2 linked regions of the Oryctolagus cuniculus genome follow. The protein of the gene in region 1 purifies or fractionates together with the protein of each later gene. This does not show direct contact. Links are inferred from orthologs where the notes say so. Each region holds a gene or a part of one and is shown in the gene's direction. Other genes may lie near its edges.

The links. Proteins that work in one complex are often made in the same cells at the same time.
Region 2: the proteins of EFTUD2 (region 1) and DNAJC17 purify together in Homo sapiens (affinity purification with mass spectrometry; 4 studies listed by BioGRID and IntAct, with this or other methods). This does not show direct contact. The link is inferred for Oryctolagus cuniculus from reciprocal best matches to the Homo sapiens genes EFTUD2 and DNAJC17.

What each region holds. Positions count from the first base shown.
Region 1 is NC_091448.1:18,115,117-18,118,762, reverse strand, and holds part of EFTUD2 (116 kDa U5 small nuclear ribonucleoprotein component), read left to right. Parts: intron 1-911; coding exon 912-1,078; intron 1,079-2,546; coding exon 2,547-2,671; intron 2,672-3,646. UniProt on the Homo sapiens protein: Required for pre-mRNA splicing as component of the spliceosome, including pre-catalytic, catalytic and post-catalytic spliceosomal complexes. Component of the U5 snRNP and the U4/U6-U5 tri-snRNP complex, a building block of the spliceosome.
Region 2 is NC_091443.1:63,918,226-63,921,871, reverse strand, and holds part of DNAJC17 (dnaJ homolog subfamily C member 17), read left to right. Parts: intron 1-259; coding exon 260-334; intron 335-1,548; coding exon 1,549-1,629; intron 1,630-2,079; coding exon 2,080-2,190; intron 2,191-3,646. UniProt on the Homo sapiens protein: May negatively affect PAX8-induced thyroglobulin/TG transcription.

The sequences.
Region 1 (3,646 bases):
TTACCAGGAAGCTGGATTGGAAGTAGTGCAGCTGGGATTTGAACTGGCACTCCATCATGGGATGCTGGCATCGCAAACAGCAGCCTAATCTGCTGTGCCACAGCCCTAGCTCTGACTTCTTATAATGGAGACTGGTATTTAGAAACAAGTATCTGGGTGTGCTCATTGCCACCGGGGTACATTGCCTGTGCCTGTAGGTTCTTTCACAGAGTACAACTAGATAATATCCATGCACACATGCATACGGATATATGTAACTATTTCTACACGTGTGTATTCAAAATCATTTGTCCACGGGCAGGCATTTGGCATGTGGTTAAGATACTGCTTGAGATGCCTGCAACCTGTTTCAGAGTGCTTGACTTTGAGTTCTAGCTCCACTCCTGATTTAACAACCTACGCATGTGCACGCTGGGAGGCAGTGGTGATGGCCAAGCACTCGGGTCCCTGCCAGCCACATGGGAGACTCAGATTGAGTTCCGCTCCTGGCTATCGCCGGCATCTGGGAAGGGAATCAGTAGATGGAAGTGCTCTCTGTTTCTCTCTCTCTCAGTCCCTCTGCCTTTCAATTAAAACAAGCAAATAAATGTATACATAAATGTTTTTTAAAAATCATTTGTCCATCCTAACATCCCCCAGTTCCCATCCAGCACCACAGTTGTTGCTGGCCTGCCTTGTCCTTTCTCTAGCACTGAGAGTGTGTTTATTCATTTCTTAGTCCTACAGGGTGTCCTCTGAAAGTGCCCGCATCTGCCTTTGGCGAGATGCTGTCTGCTGCTGCCCAGCAGTGTGTTTCCCCAGGTTCTCGTTTGCCCTCTTGCTTCATGTTTGGAAGCGGTGCCCTTTTGGCTCTGCTCTGGACTTTCTGTCCTCTTTGCTGTGTCACCACCTTCAGAGCCTGTGTTTCTCAGGTGATGCTGAACACTGAGCGGCTGATCAAGCACGCGGTGCAGGAGAGGCTGGCGGTCACCGTGTGCATCAACAAGATTGACCGGCTGATCCTGGAGCTGAAGCTGCCTCCAACCGATGCCTATTACAAGCTGCGCCACATTGTGGATGAGGTCAATGGATTAATAAGGTATGAAACTGCTGGGAGTGGATTTCCGGTCCTCAGGGACGCTGGTTTTTATAAATCTTAATTTTACCCTTGAATACCTTTGGGAGCAACTCTGATTTACTTCTTGACGTGTGTGGATGAGCTTGTTGGGCAAGACTGGAGGCGCATCTCAGGTCTTTACAGAGATTGCCTCCACGACCTTGACCTCAGTACCTGTGCCTTAGCCAGTTGTGACCTTCGTGCATCTTTAATTTATTGTCATGGGCAATACCTTGAGCTCTAGGATTGGTCTCATCCTAGCTGCGTACCAACTACATGAAGTAGGGAAAATAAGTTAAGCTCTCTTGTAGAGTCTGGCAAATTACATAAGCTCAGTTTCCATTTCTATAAAAAATGGAATGATGGTAATATTTGCCTAGAGGGATGTTACAAGAAATTAAATAAAGCCAGTCTTATCTGCAGGCTGAAGTATGTACTGAACGACTCCTGAGACCCCTAAGTGGGCGAGGACACGGCCACTGGGAGCTTGTCTGACGGCTGGGGCCGGTGACAGCTCCGCTGCCCGCAGCTGCCCCAGCCTGCGGCACTGCTGCCTACTGGGAGTGTCTCCTCCTCATCCCTGGAGTGGTTGGGAATGGCTGGAGCCCAGCCCAGCGTCATGGGTCCAAAAGATGAAGTAATAGCACTTCTTTTTAAAAGGAAGGCTGGGGGTGGGATGGAACTAAATCCTGATCTACCAGGATAGAAAATCAAGAGGGCATGTTTGAAACCTCAAAATCAGAAAGCAGCAAAACAGTATTTAGGGATATGGAGGTAAGTACTCCAGGCAGCTATAAAATGGATTGAAGCCGCTTGCCACTGGGGAGCAGAATGGGGGGTGCAGTGGGATGGATAGGGGCCGTTCTTTATAAGCTAATGCTTTCGTTTCCAAGTGAGAGGATCCCATAAAATAATGTGCCCGTTAGGATAGAGTTGTGGGTGTGACCCCTGTGTACAGCTGATTTTCTTACAAATGCTCGTGACCTTTTGAGGTGCTTGCGGTTTAGCATTCATGTTTAAAAGAAAGCCGAAGACTACAGGACAAAGAAGAGTAGAGGATAAATTACCTCTGTGTCTCTCTCGCTCTTTCTCTTATGTTTGTGTTTGTGAAGTTGAGATTTCTCTCAAATATATTCATTTCTTATCACTTTAGATTCATTTCCCGTCTTCCAAGGTCTTTGTCTCTGTCCTCCACATTTGCCCTTGTCTGTCTGATGTGGTTAGCTCCTCCAAGGTTGTGCGGAACGTTCCCGGCTCTGAGAAGCCAGCTTGTTACTGAGAGTTAGGGAACAGCTCCATCATGTCACTTCCTTGGACCAGGCTGTTGGCCAGACTGAGCGTCTTATGCAAGCTCCTCCTGAGGGCTGGCGAGTGGCTGTGTAGGCATCCCTGCCCGTCCCCCGTGGCAGAGGTCAGGGCCTGCGGCACGCTTACCCTGTGTCTGTTGCAGCATGTATTCCACTGACGAGAACCTGATCCTCTCCCCGCTCCTGGGCAACGTCTGCTTCTCCAGCTCCCAGTACAGCATCTGCTTCACGCTGGGCTCCTTTGCCAAGATCTACGCCGACACCTTTGGTGAGCTCAGCCTGGCACTGTCTTGCCAGCCTCCCCAGAGTCCTGTGTGCCTCTCCCCTGAATGCCTCAGAGGTGGCTTCGCATCACAGTGTCCTGCTGGGGAGAGCATTTTGCTGCCTTTTATAGTTACAAGTGAGCCTCTTTTTGGCCTCCAGACCAAAAGGGGCTGAGTGGCTTCAGAACAGTAGTAAGATGAACGTGACTGGGAGCGAATGGGAGAACAGGGGGCTTGTCTTAAGCATAAACGCTTTAGAGCGAGACAGATTCTGAGAAGTGCAAGTTTCCCATGCGTACAGAGGCCTTCCAGGCCTCCTGCTCACAAGTGGACTCTCCCTCACCGTGTGTGCTGCCAGCGACTCTCCAGCCCGATCTAGGCACATGCACATTTGCAAGGCCTGGTTGAGAACTCAGGCTGGACGTGGAGTCAGCACATGCGAGCCTCCGCTACAGACCCAGCTGAATGATTTCCCAGGTTTCTGCAACCGTGACCCCCAGTCTCCGTGCCGCTTCCTGGCTGTCTATCCCTGTGCCTCCCAGTTACCACAGATTCCAACAAGAACCCCGTACAGAGAGTCTGTTGTGTGTCAGGTGCTATTCTGCCTTCGAGGGGAATCCCTGGTACCCCATTTACCGAGCTGAGGGGCCAGGCCCTGTAGGGTCTCCCAGTTGGTAAAGCCTGGAGCACCAGCACTGCTGCTTGCCCATTGGTTAGCCTGCCTCCCCTGCAGGTGGACACCTTGCTCTCATGAGAGAAAGGGTGGGTAAACCTGGATCCTTTTAAAAACATGTAGCTATTTAATTATATGCACATTGTAGAAAATATATTAAAGCCTAGTTGAAAAAAAATCAAAATTCATACCTAACTTCATTACCATAACAAATTTTAGTACTTTGTTATAATTCCCTCTGTTATTTTATGTAAATTATATCATATTACTTAGATTGATATAAGGGATCTTAAAAGTTCATGGTACA
Region 2 (3,646 bases), on another chromosome or scaffold:
AGGGGCTGCTGGAGGCCAGGACTGCCTGTCAGAGCTCCCCACAAAAGGCAAGGGCACCGCACACCCCGGAGCCCTCTGCGGGTGCGCCTCACAGCGCAGGAAGCGCTCTGGAGCGGGTGCCTCTTGGTTTTCAAGGGGACAGCCGGGTTTGGGTGGTGCGTCCCAGGTCACCGGTGCTCGGAGATGAGGAAGTGCCTGCTCACTTCTGGGGTCTGGTGCTGGTCAGCGCGGGTGGTGTTGAATGGTGCTGTCTTTTCAGCTAAAGTGGAAGTGCAAGGAGGACGGGTCCCAAGGTGGCTACTCCGAAGATGTCCTCCTGCGGCTTTTGCAAAAGGTCTGCCCCAGTGACTTCCCTTCTTCCCGTCCCCAGTCTGCATCTCCGCCCAACCCCAGGGTCCTCTGTGCCCGAACTCTCCTTAACATCTCTACCGGCTGTGTGTGTGTGTGTGTGTGTTTTTTTTTTTTCTGGGAGCGGGGCTGTCTTGGCTGATTTCTCCCAGGTCCTGGTCTTCCTTTCACTTGTGTTGCCACGTGTGTCTCTCCTCTACCTCTGTCTGGCCCCTACCTCCCTTAGAAGCACAGGGCGTGGCTGAGTGTGTGTGTGGGGGGTGTCTGGCACAGGGCCCTCCCCCCACCCTTCCCCTGCTGTAGCCCACTGAGGCATCCATTGCCAGGACGCCAGTCCAGGTCGCCAATCTTGCCTTAGCTCTACTTTGCTGTCCTGTATTACTTGAGGAAAAAGTCTGTCTGGGACAGGTGTTCAGTGTAGCAGTTAAGGTGCCTGCACCCCGCGTCAGGGTACCTGGTTCAGTCCACTGCTCTAGCTCCTGATTCCAGCTTCCTGGTAATGTGGACTCTGGGAGGCAGCAGCTGAGGGCTCAAGCAATTGGGTCCCTGGCACTCAGGTGGGAGACCTGGATTGAGCTCCTGGTTCCTGGCTTTGGCCTCAACTTGGCCCAACCAATGTGGCGTTTAGAGTGGACCAGTGGAAGGAAGCTTTCCCTCCCTGTCTCTCAAATTTAAGAAAGGGAAGGAAGGAAAGGAAGGAAAGGAAAGAAGGAAGGGAGTTTAAAAACACTCTTTCCTTGGGCGGGCATTGTGGCATGGCAGGTAAAGCTGCCACCAGCGATGCATCCCATATGAGCACTGGTACATGTCCCAGTTGCTCCACTTCCAGTCCAGCTTCCTGCTAGTGGCCTGGGGAAAGCAGTAGAAGACAGCCCTGCCACCCACATGGGAGACCTGGATGACACTGGCTCCTGGTTCCTGGCTCCTGGCTTCGGCCTGGCTCAGCCCTGGCTGTTGCACATCTGGAGAGTGAACCAATAGTTGGAAGATCTCTTTCTCTCTCTTTTCTTCTGTGTGTCTGAGTTTCAAATAAATAAATAAATCTTAAAAAACAAACCAAAAAAAAAACAAACGCGACCTTCCTATTTCTGCTCTGGCCAGCAATGGGGTTATCCGCAGCTACAAGGGCTGTGTGTGCTCCCTGGGCTGGGCTGGGCTAATGGCTGAGCCATGCTTACTGGGCTCCCTTTGTCCCCACAGTATGGTGAGGTTCTCAACCTGGTGCTTTCCAGTAAGAGGGCAGGCACTGCTGTGGTGGAGTTTGCGACTGTCAAGGCTGCGGTGAGTGCCTTGTCATCTAGGGCAGCAGCCCTATCCCACGGGCCCCAAGTTAGGCTGTCCACTCCCAGGGCATCTCTGGGTCTGTACAGAGCCAAGGCTCCCCCGGGGCCCCTGACCCCTAGCACAGCTGGGGGAGTGCTCCGGGATGAAGGGGAGGCCCAGTGACTTTCAGGTTCGGGACAGCTGGCTCCACACCCTCTACCTCACTCTCCAGGTTGGAGGCCCTCACACTGCCTTCCCAGCCTTGTGGTCCTCGCTCCCCCAGATGAGCAGGGCCTCCCCCGTCCCGAGAAGGGTTGGAGCTTCAGCACACCATCATTTTCAGCCTGTTGAGGTTGCCGGCTCTGCTCGCAAGACCAGAATGCTGGTTCCGTTTTTCCTGTGGGCTTGGGGGAGCCGCTCTGTGGCTGATTTGATGATGGCACTAGGACCGGATGCTCTGTTTGGCAGGCGCTGGCTGTGCAGAATGAAGTGGGCCTTATTGATAACCCCCTGAAGATTTCCTGGCTGGAGGGACAGCCCCAGGGCGTTGTGGGCCCTGGCCACCCAGGACTGTCAAAGGTGAGGAGAGAGGCCTCACCCAGCTGGGCCTGCTCGGGTCTTGGGGGTCCTCTTCCTGTTTGGGCTTCTCTGGGGACACTGTCTATCCAGATATAGCCGAGTGGGACTGGTCGGGCCACCAACCCAAGCTGGAGGCCTGTGGTTCTGTTGGCCTCTTTCCCCCCTGAAGGGGGGGGAAAGCCCCCCTGCCTGGGGGCTCTACCCTACCCAGGGTTCTTAGGCTTTGCTTTCCCGCCACTTGGGGCTCCTGGTGGGCTCTCCTCCTCACCCACCCAGAGGGCTCCTGCTGCCTTTGCTTGTGGAGGGAAGCAGCTGGGGCTTGGCTCACCCAGAGCTGCAGGGGAGGGGCAGGTGACCTCGGCAGCTGCGTCCTCTCCCAGCGCTTCAGTTTCCCAGGTGTGAATGTGCACTGGACAGGGGTGACCAGGGCTGTCTCTTCAGAAGCTGCCCTGCTGATGCGGGGCCACCGCCTGCCGTACTCATGAGGGATAGGCCTCCTGGCTGAGGCTAGCTCACTGCCAGCCCTCAGTCCTCAGCTTCCACGAAGGCTCACGTGAGAGCCCCTCCCCTGGCCCTGGCATTTTCCAGTCTGGAGGCAGAAGTGGGGTTGGCAGGGCTTGTGGCCACCCCACCCCCGTCTTGGTGATACCGATTGCTCTGGGGCAAGCTGCAGCCTGGCTCAGCCCTCTCTGGAACAGCCTGGGTGCCTGCGGTCTGCCTCCTCAGCGGGTTCGCAGGGCACTGCTCCCGTGGCCCTCCGCCATGCCACCAGCTCTCCTCCTGCCAGAGCGCTCTGTGAGTGTGCTCAGACCCCGGACAGCGGACCAACAGGAACTGGTTCGAGCCCAACTCGGGACCCAGTTTAGAGACTTCATTCCTACAACTAAGTCCCTGCATTCCACGGCCTCATGGGACACTCCATAGGCTGTGTTAGTTTTATTCTTTGGCTCCTCAAGCCACAAGGGAGGCTTTCAGCTTGGCACCTGGGCCAGGGGAGGAAAGGGGAGGCTATGGATAGGGCCTGTGGAGGCAGCGATGTTGCAGCCTGCCCTCCCCTCTGCCAGGCTCGAAGAGGCCTGGGTGTCAGAACCACATCGCCCCGGCCAGGCCGCGGGGTGAGGCAGAAGCACAACCTACGGCCCTGACCTGGCTGGCAGGCCCATCGTCAGAGGTTCGGGCAGGGCAGAGCTCCCCCAGTCCCGGTGGAGGGTTCTGGAGACCAGCTGTTGCCTCCTCATGGTTGAGTCTACCCCGATTCAGGCTTTTCTCCCAGGAAGGGCATCTGCCACTGTTCAGCTGCATTTCCCAAGAGCTCCATCACCAGTACTTCTGGGAATTCCCCAAAGCACCTGATTACCAACCGTGCCTGTGGCTTTGGCTGCCACTGCCTAGAGCTGCCTTCCGTGGCACTGGGGACTGCTCTGGACAGCTGTGTTGACAGGCTGCTGATCATCTG